3 linked regions of the Macaca mulatta genome follow. The main gene of each other region encodes a partner of the protein of the gene in region 2 in a complex. Links are inferred from orthologs where the notes say so. Each region holds a gene or a part of one and is shown on either strand. Other genes may lie near its edges.

Region 1 (3,514 bases), on a different chromosome or scaffold from region 2:
GAAGGGTTTTTAGTCTACCTGGCAAAACAACAACTATGTAAAAAAGTAAGTATAATCAAGTGATACTGTTGCTGTCTCAGAAATGTTTACAGGATACAATAAAGGCACAAAGAAATAACAGTTTGGAAAAAAGCACAAATATGGTGGGCATCGAGGCTGATGCCTGTAATCCTAGCACAGGCTGAGGCAGGAGGATCACTTGAGGCCAGGAGTTTGAAACCAGCCTGGGCGACGTAGTGAGACCCCATCTCTACAAAAAGCAGCCGGGCGTGGTGAGGCATGTCTGTAGTGCAAGCTACTCAGGGGGCTGAAATGATTGCTTGAGCACAGGAATTTGAGACTGCAGTGAGCTATGATCATGCCACTGCACTCCAGGCCTGGGCAACAGAGCAAGACCCTGTCTCACAAAAAAAAGAAAAAAAAAGAAAAAAAAAGTAGTCATAAAAATTCACAAATTTCAGCTTCTATCAATATTGACAGCACACAGACATAGATAAGTCAAATAAAATTATGAAAAATGAAAAGCTCCACCTTGAAATGTTAATCTCTGTATTAAGACCATTAAATGAAATACTACTTTTTTTTTTTTTTTTTTTGAGGCAGAGTCTCACTCTTGTCACGCAGGCTGGAATGCAGTGATGCCATCTTGGCTCATTGCAACCTCTGCCTCCCGGGTTCAAGCGATTCTCATGCCTCAGCCTCCCAAATAGGTGGGATTACAGGCACCCACCACCACACCCAGCTAATTTTTGTATTTTTAGTAGAGACGGGGTTTCACCATGGTAGCCAGGCTGGTCTCCAACTCCTGACCTCAGATGATCCATCCGCCTCGACCTCCCAAAGTGCTGGGATTACAGGCGTGAGCCACCGCGCCCAGCCGCAACTTTACTTTTTAATCTTGCTAAGGAACCAAAGTCATTTCTCACTTAGATTAAAGCTCCTAAACAAAAATGTTTCATGTATTTTGTCTCTGTGATGTTCAAGGTCAGAAAGAATAAACTAACCAGAGGGTATTAAAATAATTGTCTTTTGCTCCATTCCATTCTGTTCACTAGATTTGCATCCTTTTACACGTTTCCAAGAAAGTGATGTAGTAGCTGCATGATCGTCTGGCTGCTGTAATAATGTTCCCTATAAACAGTAAAGTTATTTCAAGTTTAGTTTGTTCAATTTTTTTTAAACAACCAAAAACCTTGAAATCGGTGTAAATTTAATAACATTATATAGGCAGTTTCTAAAATACTACCCTAAATTATTTTAAATACTTTAAGTTATTTGCTATTCATTATGACCATAAAGTTATTTGCCATCCATTATGACCATTCTGTCTATAAATACTTTCCAGTTAATTTAGTTTGAAAATATCAGAATGTATTATACCACCATTGACTTACCCCAAAACATAGCAGTTCTTTTTTTAATTTGAGATGGACTCTTACTCTCTCACCCAGGCGGAGTGCAGTGGCCTGATCTCGGCTCACCGCAACCTCCACCTCCCGGGTTCAAGCTATTCTCTTGCCTCAGCCTCCAGAGTGGCTGGGATTACAGTCGTGCACTACCACACCTGGCTGATTGTTGTATTTTTAGTAGAGACAGGGTTTCACCAAGTTGGCCAGGCTGGTCTCAAACTCCTGACCTCAAGTGATCCTCGCCTCGGCCTCCCAAAGTGCTGGGATTACAGGTGTGAGGCACTGCGCCCGGCCAATACCAGTTCTTTTAATCAGGCAAAGTAACTTAAAGGGAAGAGAATGAGATTGGTGGTGATATTCAGGGTGGAGTAAGGGGAGAACTTCACTTTTTAATTCAAAATACATTGGAATTGTTTGGAATTTTTATACCAAGAATGTATTCATTAAACATTTGTATTTTTAAAAACCAGTGTATACAGAGTAAAAAAAAACCCAATGTATAAATTCTGAAAATATAACTTTACTATTTGGAAGAAACGTGGAAACACACACACACACACACACACACACAGAAATAGCACATTAGCTAGAAAAGCAAAACCTACTACTCTCATACTTACAATTCCTACTGCTTGAAAAAGTGAACCATCATGTTCCATTTTTCGCTTTCTCTGAGCATTCTGCAAAGCTAGTATCTTTGGATTTAGTTCTTCCTCAGGAACTGTAGTTCTGAAAAGAAAAAAATTGTAAATGAAAATATAGCTCTTTTATTTTTTAAAAAAATATCCAGTGAGCTCTTTTAAAGAAAATACATAATTCCTTAGTTCTCCAATATTAAGGAATGTAATATATATAACATAACTCTCCTGATTACTAAAGTTTATCACCCTAAAAGTCAAAGCTTGTTTTTTTTGGGGTGAAACAGGGTCTCACTCTGTCAGCCAGGCTGGAGTGCAGAGACATGATTTCTGCTTACTATAACCAAGCTCTGTCTCTGGAGTCAAGTGATCCTCCCACCTCAGCCTCTCAAGTAGATGGGATTATGGCTGATTTATATATATATATTTTTGTAGAGATGGGATTTCACCATGTTGCTCAGGGTGGTCTCAAACTCCTGAGCGCAAGTGATCTGCCCACCTTGGCCTCCCAAAGTGCTGGGATTACAGGCGTGAGCACCTGGCCTTCAAAGCTTAATTTAACAGAAAATTTTCTACAGTATGCATATCCCTATTTTATAAAATACAGCTGAACACAACTAAATTGACATTATTGTAGAGTCAAAACAGTTAAATATTGTCCTTTTATTCCACCTAACATAACAATGCGGTGATACTGTTGGGACTATTGAAATATAAGATCAATTTCACATTCATATAGCATTTTCAGTTTATAAAACATTTCAAGTTCATTAGTTCATTTTAATCTTACTTAAGTTCCCAAGATAGATAAGGCAGGCATATCATACCCATTTTATAAATGAGAATCCTGAGGCCTATTGGGTAACTTTCTCAAAGTCCTACTGCTCACTAGTTGTGATATGAAAGTACACTCTAGGTCTCCAGATCCCTACCTCCCCTCCCCTGCTCTTTCCACTATGCTATTTTTCACTCAGTATTGATCTGGTTATCAAACATGAACTATGTATATCTAAAATTAATATTAAATCATGAAGAATTGTTCTAATGAGTAAAGTACATCAGCTTTGTTATATTATTTTGACTTTTCGACCCCCCCATAAACCAAATGCATAATCATAATGGCTCCTTGTTGTTCCAGATAGTTGAGAATGCCAAATAGGTAAGTGATCTAACTGCTCTCTTATTTTGCAGTTTTCTTTGGTTTTTAAAAAATTTCTATAAAACTTCTATTATACAGACAGGCAAGTTTAAAAATTCTTATATAGATATATTGTCTTTATGAAATGTACACTCAGTCTATCATGTAACTATCATTGTAGTAGTAGTAGTAGTAGTACTTAGTAGTTATGTTTTTAATGGTTTAATTTTTGAAATTCCTTTCATAAAAGTTTTCAGTGTACACTACATTGGAACTAATGTTTAAAAACAATTGCTAGCTGGGTGCAGTGGCTCGCCTGTAATCCCAAT
Region 2 (4,097 bases):
TCCTGCTCTGGAGCTCGGGACTTTATGTTCAGATGTGATCCATGACAACGTTCTTTCTTAAAAATATCAACGCAAATCTAGTGAAAGACCAAGGCTGAGATTTCATCAGATCCCCCTTTCCCTTCCAGTTTAATATTATTCAACTGTTCCTTTTTAAGACTACAAGAAATCAAGACTTGTGCCTTCACCCAGCAATGAAGTGGCAATACGTAAATTAGATTTCACATTGTATTTTTCCCCACATTTTCATGTTTGTAACTTTCTCCCTGCCTATGTTCAGCCTTTCCGGCAGCCTGAGAATCACATGTAATGACTGTCAAAGTAAATGATCTGACGCACACATAAAAAAGAACCACTGGTTAAGAGTCAGCGTGTGTGTACAAACATGCAACTGTGATGCTCTCCCAGGTCAATCTCTCAAAACTCACAAAATCAGACAGAGACTGATGGTGAAGGAGGGCGGCCTGGGAGCAGCTATATACACAGAAAAGATCAAGATCTGAGAAGTAAAATGAAAAAAAGCTGCAAGAGAGTATTAAGGAGGAAAGAGTCTACTGTTTATCATGAAGGAGGAAAGAGCTAGGAATAGACTAGGTAGGAAGTGAAGAATCTGTGGAGGAAAAACCGCAACGGTAAAGAGAAAACAAAAACTCACCAAATTGGGAGGATAAAACGAGCCTCCTGCTCCAATTCCATGTTGTGGTTGTTTTTGTTTGTTTTGTTTTGTTTTTTTCCAGGAAGTTACAAAACAGTTTTCAACAGAAGGATTACATTAACAAAGCAAATAAAGGAAACTTATGCTAAAAATGTAGCCTACCTACACTGAGAAGTCTGAAAACGGAAATACTTCTTTCCCCTTTTTGTAAAGGGTTTCAAAACAGTAGGAACAGGGTAAGGGATAAGAGCTATAAGAGGGGGAGGTGAGTAGCCAAGCTCTTCCTGAATATAGACAGTCTTTCGACTAAATGCGTATTTTAAATTTACCTTTTTGTGGTCAGCTGGCAAACTCTTCACTGCACATAGCGTTTGACTCTCAATCAAAATGTGATGAGTGGTTCAGACACCATAGGAAATTCAAGAGCGTATGCAAACACAAGGCACATGCAGAACCAGGACTTGGTTTGGGTGGTACTCTAACACCCCCTCACTGGGTGGCTAAAACGCCACTAAGGTTTGAATTGTGACCAACAGTGAAATGGAAGAAAGAAAATAGCAAAGTTAAAGAGCCTACGTTTAGCCAGAAAACCATGCAATTAGCCGGAGAAGTTTGTGAACGGGCAGTAAGTGGAAAACAGCGGACACAAAGGGGCTAACTAGATAAACAGCCACTACAAATTCTGTCCGTCTTCCTTACGGGGTGCTACACAACGAGTCCCTTCTATACAGAGGAATGCTGCTTCTCAGCCTAGGCGGTTACAGTCGCAGGCAGGGACTGCCCGCCGAGAAGGGTCTGTCCAGCACAAACCCGCAGCACACACTTACTTTCGTCCGGCCATTGATTTTGTAGCTGCCCAGCTTCCCGTTACAGTGGCGGATCAGGTCGTCCATGCTGCTCATGAGCAGCCCAATGGTTTCGCAGCCGGGCTCCTTGCCCTCGATCCAGGTGATCTTATCGCCTCGGATATCCTTGGACGAGTCGCTCTTCTGGCTGACCAGCTGCCCGTCCGTGAACTTCCCGGTGTCGTGCAGGGCGCGCACCTCGTCGCCGATCTGCTGTCCGGTCTCCTTGCCGAGGAAGTCGTCCACCACACAGATGCCGTGCTTGTTCATGCACGGCACGATGTACTCGAGCGCCAGCTTCAGCGCCGGCAGGGGCTTCGTCTGCCCGTTGGGCCGCAGGCCGCCGCTGGGGCTCAGCGCATCCCCGGGCGTGTTGCTCGGGGGGTACAGGTTCGCCTTCTCCTGGAACAGCGATGAGCGGGCCGGCGGCTCCTCCTTCCCGGGCTCGGCCTCGGCAGCCACCGCCGAGCCCTGGCCGCCCGGGGCCGCGCGAGACGGCGACGCGGCCGCCGCGGGGTCGGCCGGGGGCTTGCCCTTTGCTTTTGCCTTGGCCGCGTCCCCGGAGGCGTTGTCCCGGCGCGCCGCTGCCTTCCTGGGCTCCCGGGCCCCGGCCCTGGGCGGCGGCGCTGCAACCGGCGGCGCGGGGCCGGAGTGCTGGTGCGGGCCCACTCCGGGGCCGAGGGCGCTCTCGCTGCCCTGGCACACGAGCTTGTGCTTCTTCCAGTCCTGACGCTGGTGCTCCTTGCAGCAGTAGAAGGAGCTGCGGCAGCGGCTGCAGCGCAGCAGGTTCTCCATCTTCCCGCACAGCTCGCAGTACTGCCGGTCTCGCTCGCTCGGGCTCGGCCCGCCGGGCCCGCCGCTGTCATTGGCCATGGCGGCGGCGGCGGCGGCGGCGGCGGCAGCGGCGGCGGCGGCGGCCGAGCAAGAGGGGTGGCGGCCGGACGGCCTCGCCCGAGGCTGGGGAGCGGGGAGAGAGATAGGGGCCGTTACTGCGCCATGTACCCACTACCCTCGCCTCAGGGAGGCCGGTACCCCGCGCCCTCGGCCCGGCCGCTTCCGAGTCCTAGTCTCCGGCGCAGCGCCGGCGGCCGCCTCAGCGCCTCATCGCTGCCGAGGGCTGAGAGAATGCGGCCTGTGCGGCGAATGGCAACCTGGACTCAAGCGCGCGGGCCTGGGGAGCGCAAGACCGGCCCTCTCCGCCGCCGCCGCCGCCGCCGCCTCAGCCTCCTCGGCGGCCCGGCCCAGGCTGTGGAGGAGCGTAGGGCATGCGGGCGCCACTCGCTCTGCGCGCTCTGCACGTACACCACGGCCCCGCGGCGACCCGGGCGGGCGGCGCGCAAGGGCGGAGGGGGCGGAGGGAGGGCCGGGGGGGAGGGCCGAGGGGCGGGGGCCGCCTGCGCTCCTCCGCACTCCGTGGGGCCGGGCCTCGGCCTCCGAGCTGGGTCGCCTGCACTGCCTCCGCCCAGGGCGGGACTGGGACGCGAGAGGCCGGTGCGCTACCTCAGCCTGCAGCGGCCTCCTTGGGGACGCCGAAGCGCAGGCCCGCGAGCTGCGGAAAGGCGTGGGGCAGCGCGGCAGCGCCTACACCTGCTGGGGGAGGGCGCCAGCCGCAAGCGGGTAGCGGAGCGGCGGCGGCGGCGTCGTAATCATGGCTGCTCTTCGTCGAGGCAGGCGCGGGGTGTGCGGGGCGCGCTCCAGTAAGGGTTGCAAGGTGGCTGTTGCTATCCTCATTTTGCAGAGGAGGAAACGGAAATTCAGAGAAGTGAAGTAACTTGTCCAAGGTCACGCAGAACTGGGACTGAATCCAGGAATCAGGCTCTCAGATTCCAAGGCTTTTTCCATTACACCATACAGTCTCTATTTCAAGAAGCCCTGAAATGGTTAAGAACAAAGTAAGTATTACTGTGGTGTTAATCCAATCTCTTGCGCCCCGTTTCAACCTAATTTAAAGGTAATGAAATTTGAGGATTTTAAAAAAATTAAAAACTCATTAAAACCTTTGAAATCCCGGTGACTTCAAAACTCCATGAAGAAATTTTGGGCTACCAAATTACATGAGGTAATCAATGCTCATTCCAATATCCAATTTAAACTGATGGAATTATTCCTGAAGAGTGAATTTTGGTGGTAAATGAGCAGTACTACATTAACAACTCTCACATTTATTTTTAATAGAATCTGTGCTGCGCGGATGAATACAATTCTTTGTTTTATAGAGCATAAAAACCTTACCAGAAATAAGCCAAAGATGTTTCTTTCTGCTGCTATTTATCTTAAGAATTAAAAGGCCTGTGATTTAGAGTTTAACAATCTTTATCGAACACTCTGGAAAATGCGGTGCTAGGCTTGTGTACCCCTTGAGTATACTGTAACTTTAGTCCTTGAAATGTAACCTTCCCAACTTACGAAAGCTGCAATATATATTTCAAAAGCAGGATATGAGGAATTTTTGTGAACCACATTGTAGAAGTTTAAAAAGAGGCTTGAATCCAAAAATATAAAACCTCTTCATCAAATATACAGAATTTAAAACTGTTAAAAAATTCTGCTGCATCCGTTTAATGGCATTCTGGGGATCCAATCAAGTGAGAGGATGA
Region 3 (3,514 bases), on a different chromosome or scaffold from region 2:
TGCAGGCTCAGTCTGTAACAGGGTGGAGGTGAGCCAATGAAGTATCTGCTTTTGCAGCATGTGTGGTAATAAGAGCCAACCCTTGTAGGCTTAGCCTCACTGCCTCTGTTATTCAGGTTGGACAAGCATAAGCCCCATGGCAGTGACAGGTGATATTATTAAAGAGGACATCTAGACATGCACAGAATCTGCCCAGACCAGTGACAGAATCTCAGGTTTGGAAGGGACCTTGACAGTCATTAAGCCCCACTTCTGCCCAAAGCTTCAGTCCTCTTAACAATGTCCCTATTCATGCCTTTGTTGAATGGCCACAGTTACGAGAGAGGAAGCTCCACTGCCATTGCAACGTGCTTTCTGCCTGTGTGGGTCCTCTCATCCACTGGCACCTGCTGGGTATCCCCATGGGTAAGGTCCTGTACGCTAGATCTTTTTAAATCTCTTCTCCGTCAAAACCTACTTGACCTATGTCTCATCAGGGTACCATTTCCTGTGGTAGCTCATCTCCAAAAGTAGCTCCAACAAGCCATGCCTTTTGACACTCATGGCTTTGTGTAGTTTCCTCCCACAATGAGCCAGGGCTGTCCTGTAACATGCTCTAACCAACAACATGGGGCAGAAGTGATGCTCTGCTAATTTGAGGACAAAACCTTGGGAAGGCCTGGCAACTTCCACCTTAGTGCTTCTGGGAGCCCTGAGCTGCCACATGTCTGGCTACCCTAGAGACACCGTATGGAGAGGGAGAGTCTCTGAGACTCCATGGAGTGACAGAACAGTCCCATTGTCCCAGCATGCCAGCTGAATCCAGGGTTCCAGCCACCTGACACAAGGTCCCAGACATGTGTGAGCTATCCTGATCACCCCAGCCTAGTCTGGCCCCCAGATGACTGCAGCCCCACTGACATCACATGGAGTATAAGACCCACCCACTGAACCCACAGAACGCTGGGAGATAATCATCAAAGCCCTATGTTTTAGGTGGTTTGTTCCACAGCAATAGATAACTACAGTAGTTCCTATAAGCACTTTGGCACAGACTGGTTTCTCACTGGTTTGGGTGGTGTCATTTGGCAGAGATGCTTGACTCTTGGGTGATGAAACCTCCTAGAGACAGTGTCCTAACCCAAAAGAGTCCCCTAGTAGTGGGACACCAGGCATCATGTGGGGCCAGCAGGAGATACTTCTGAGTACCGGGTCCTCTCAATGCCCCAATCTCATCTCACAGGCTACACACTTAAACGGAGGGCCAGCCTAGCTAAATTTTTTAAGGACATCCATTTTTCCTGCATTGCAAGGCCATGAGCTATCTCCCTTATACTTGTAGACAAAGGGGAGGCAGATTCCCACCCAGTGGGGGCAAGAAGGAAATAAACACAATTAAGGATACCATTTTTGAGACTCAGGTTCTCACGAATCTCCTCGTGGTCGCAGGGATGAGTGAAGTCAAAGATACTATGTCCTGTTAGCTCCACCTGTTTCAAAAACAAGGTTAGGCATCATTATTCCTAACAGTGAAGTAAAAGACTCCAAGAGGAAGCTGAGCCACCTTCCAGATTTGGAGGCAGGGAGGAGATTGAATTGGGTTTTCTCATAATCCCAGTCCAGTGTCAGGTCCACAGACAGAAAGATGTAATGGGGGATTACTGATGACAGAGTCTGTTAATGAGTCAGTAGAGAGCTGTCTGCCAGGATGGACATAAGCAAAGCCAAACCCAATGCCTGGGGGTGGGACTGTGGCCTGAGGCATGTGGCCTGAGGTCAGCGAGGGTCACAGTGGCCATTTACAGGGAAAGGTCAAGTGGGATTGTGGCTAGCACCTTCTACTCATTTCTACCCCCAAATGGAAACATTTCTTCTTTTGAAAGAGATAGAGGGGGGTGTCACCTGTGTAAGTCCCATGAACTTGCTGATGTTTTCTGACAGAAAGATCATGTCGCCATCTTGGGTCACCACGGCAATGAAACCCTCCAAGGCTTTCAGGTACAAGTTGTCCATCTGCTGGTCAGCTTCAGCTTCAGACTCATTTTCAGAGCAAACTGGAAAGAGAGGGGGGCGGGACAGTTACATGAATGTGGAGTGAAAACAGATGTGACTGGCACAGATAGGCATTTGCCAGGGATGGCGCAAAGGCATCGGGTGGACTCTTCTGGAAACGCGCACTGCCGACCATCTGAATGTCTGCCCCAGCCCGGCAGCAGGCACTGGATGAGCACCACTGCACAGAGGACACCCTGACAGGGGCTGTGAGGACAGTGTGCTTGTTGTGACAACAGTACTTCTGGCACTAGCAACGGGAGCAGTAGGAGCTGCTGTGTGAGTGGTTCGGGGTGGAAGTTTTCCTAGGCTGCCCCCAGCAACCACCTGTACAGCCTGTAGACTCGGCTCTTGTCCCAGACCAAAAACACCTCTTGGGCCCCAGGTCTTTGGTGGTTATACACAGACCACCGACTTCATTTCAGCCCTTTTCTCCTAGTTCATTATTTATCTCCAAAGACATTTACTTATGAAAATTTGTATTTATCCAGTGCAAACATCAATCAAAGTATGCCTGAATATAACGGTACTCATAGAAGCAGGAACAAATTTTAGCTGCTAATATATACTGCAATCACAACATGAAAGGTACTGCACTAAGCATGCTATGTAATCTTCACAGTGACCTACGAGGTAGATACTATTCTTAATCTCATTTTACAGATGAAGTGTACAGAGGTTAAGCCATTTGTCCAAAGGTATAAAGATTGCAAAGTTAGCAAGCTTTGACAGCTGAATCCAGAAGCCACACTCAACCATTCATAGGCTTTGGAGTTAAACACAGGTTCTCTTCCTAGATCACCCTCCTATTAGGCTATGACTCTGAATAAGGAACAACCTCTCTGGATATCACTTTCCTCATCAGCTAAATGGGAATAACAATTTCCACCTCTGAATTGTAAGGATTAGATAAGTATGTAAAGTGCCTAAAACTATAACAACAGTAAATTCTTTCTTCTTTCTGCTCCAAGACATGCACTACCCTCAAATTGCTCAGATCCCGGGTGAGGAATATATAGCACTCAGAGATGCAAAGCTAAGTAAAAGTTCAAGGGTGTCATAGCTGGGCTTCCAAGGAAAAGTGTAGATGGGACGAGCTCTAAGGGTCAGAGGACGAGGGGGTCACTTTGGGGTGATCACAGACAACTAACTGTTCCAAAGAAGATTTGCAGAGACTTAGAAAAACAGATTTCACTCTGTGGAATGAAAGAAGGGCCTTCTGAACCAGATGGGATTGTGTGAGCACTGGAAAACCCCTGGAGCAAGCTCCCTCCTAGACTGAAGAGAGGCCCATCTGGCTCAAGAGGAGAATCCATCTTCCAGTCTCAGAGATTGGGCTGGTGAGACAGGCCCAGTGTCCTGGAGGGGCCTCATGTGTCAAGCAAATGTGATCAGAGGAGTACATCTCAAAGCACTGCTTTGGGGAGATTAGTCTGGCAATGGCATACAGAGTGGTTTGGAGACAGTGAAGCCCAGAGGTGCA

Evidence for each region. Proteins that work in one complex are often made in the same cells at the same time.
Region 1: the proteins of EGLN1 (region 2) and HIF1A are in contact, whole or in part, in a crystal structure (PDB 3HQR), measured with the Homo sapiens proteins. The link is inferred for Macaca mulatta from reciprocal best matches to the Homo sapiens genes EGLN1 and HIF1A. Residues at the interface, in NP_071334.1 of Homo sapiens: Gln239, Leu240, Val241, Ser242, Gln243, Lys244, Ile251, Arg252, Trp258, Lys262, Asp277, Ile280, Arg281, Ile292, Asn293, Gly294, Arg295, Thr296, Lys297, Tyr310, Val311, Arg312, His313, Val314, Asp315, Pro317, Asn318, Asp320, Arg322, Arg370; in NP_001521.1 of Homo sapiens: Leu559, Glu560, Met561, Leu562, Ala563, Pro564, Tyr565, Ile566, Pro567, Met568, Asp570, Asp571, Phe572, Gln573, Leu574.
Region 3: the proteins of EGLN1 (region 2) and EPAS1 are in contact, whole or in part, in a crystal structure (PDB 7Q5X), measured with the Homo sapiens proteins. The link is inferred for Macaca mulatta from reciprocal best matches to the Homo sapiens genes EGLN1 and EPAS1. Residues at the interface, in NP_071334.1 of Homo sapiens: Gln239, Leu240, Val241, Ser242, Lys244, Ile251, Arg252, Trp258, Asp277, Ile280, Arg281, Ile292, Asn293, Gly294, Arg295, Thr296, Lys297, Tyr310, Val311, Arg312, His313, Val314, Asp315, Pro317, Asn318, Asp320, Arg322, Arg370, Trp389, Tyr390; in NP_001421.2 of Homo sapiens: Asp525, Leu526, Glu527, Thr528, Leu529, Ala530, Pro531, Tyr532, Ile533, Pro534, Met535, Asp536, Gly537, Glu538, Asp539, Phe540, Gln541, Leu542.

What each region holds. Positions count from the first base shown.
Region 1 is NC_133412.1:134,854,554-134,858,067, reverse strand, and holds part of HIF1A (hypoxia-inducible factor 1-alpha), read right to left. Parts: intron 2,139-3,514; coding exon 2,030-2,138; intron 1,132-2,029; coding exon 1,005-1,131; intron 1-1,004.
Region 2 is NC_133406.1:17,609,914-17,614,010, reverse strand, and holds the start of EGLN1 (egl nine homolog 1), read right to left. Parts: upstream 2,803-4,097; 5' UTR 2,374-2,802; coding exon 1,483-2,373; intron 1-1,482. UniProt on the Homo sapiens protein: Cellular oxygen sensor that catalyzes, under normoxic conditions, the post-translational formation of 4-hydroxyproline in hypoxia-inducible factor (HIF) alpha proteins.
Region 3 is NC_133418.1:78,484,881-78,488,394, forward strand, and holds part of EPAS1 (endothelial PAS domain-containing protein 1), read right to left. Parts: intron 2,034-3,514; coding exon 1,882-2,033; intron 1,470-1,881; coding exon 1,385-1,469; intron 1-1,384.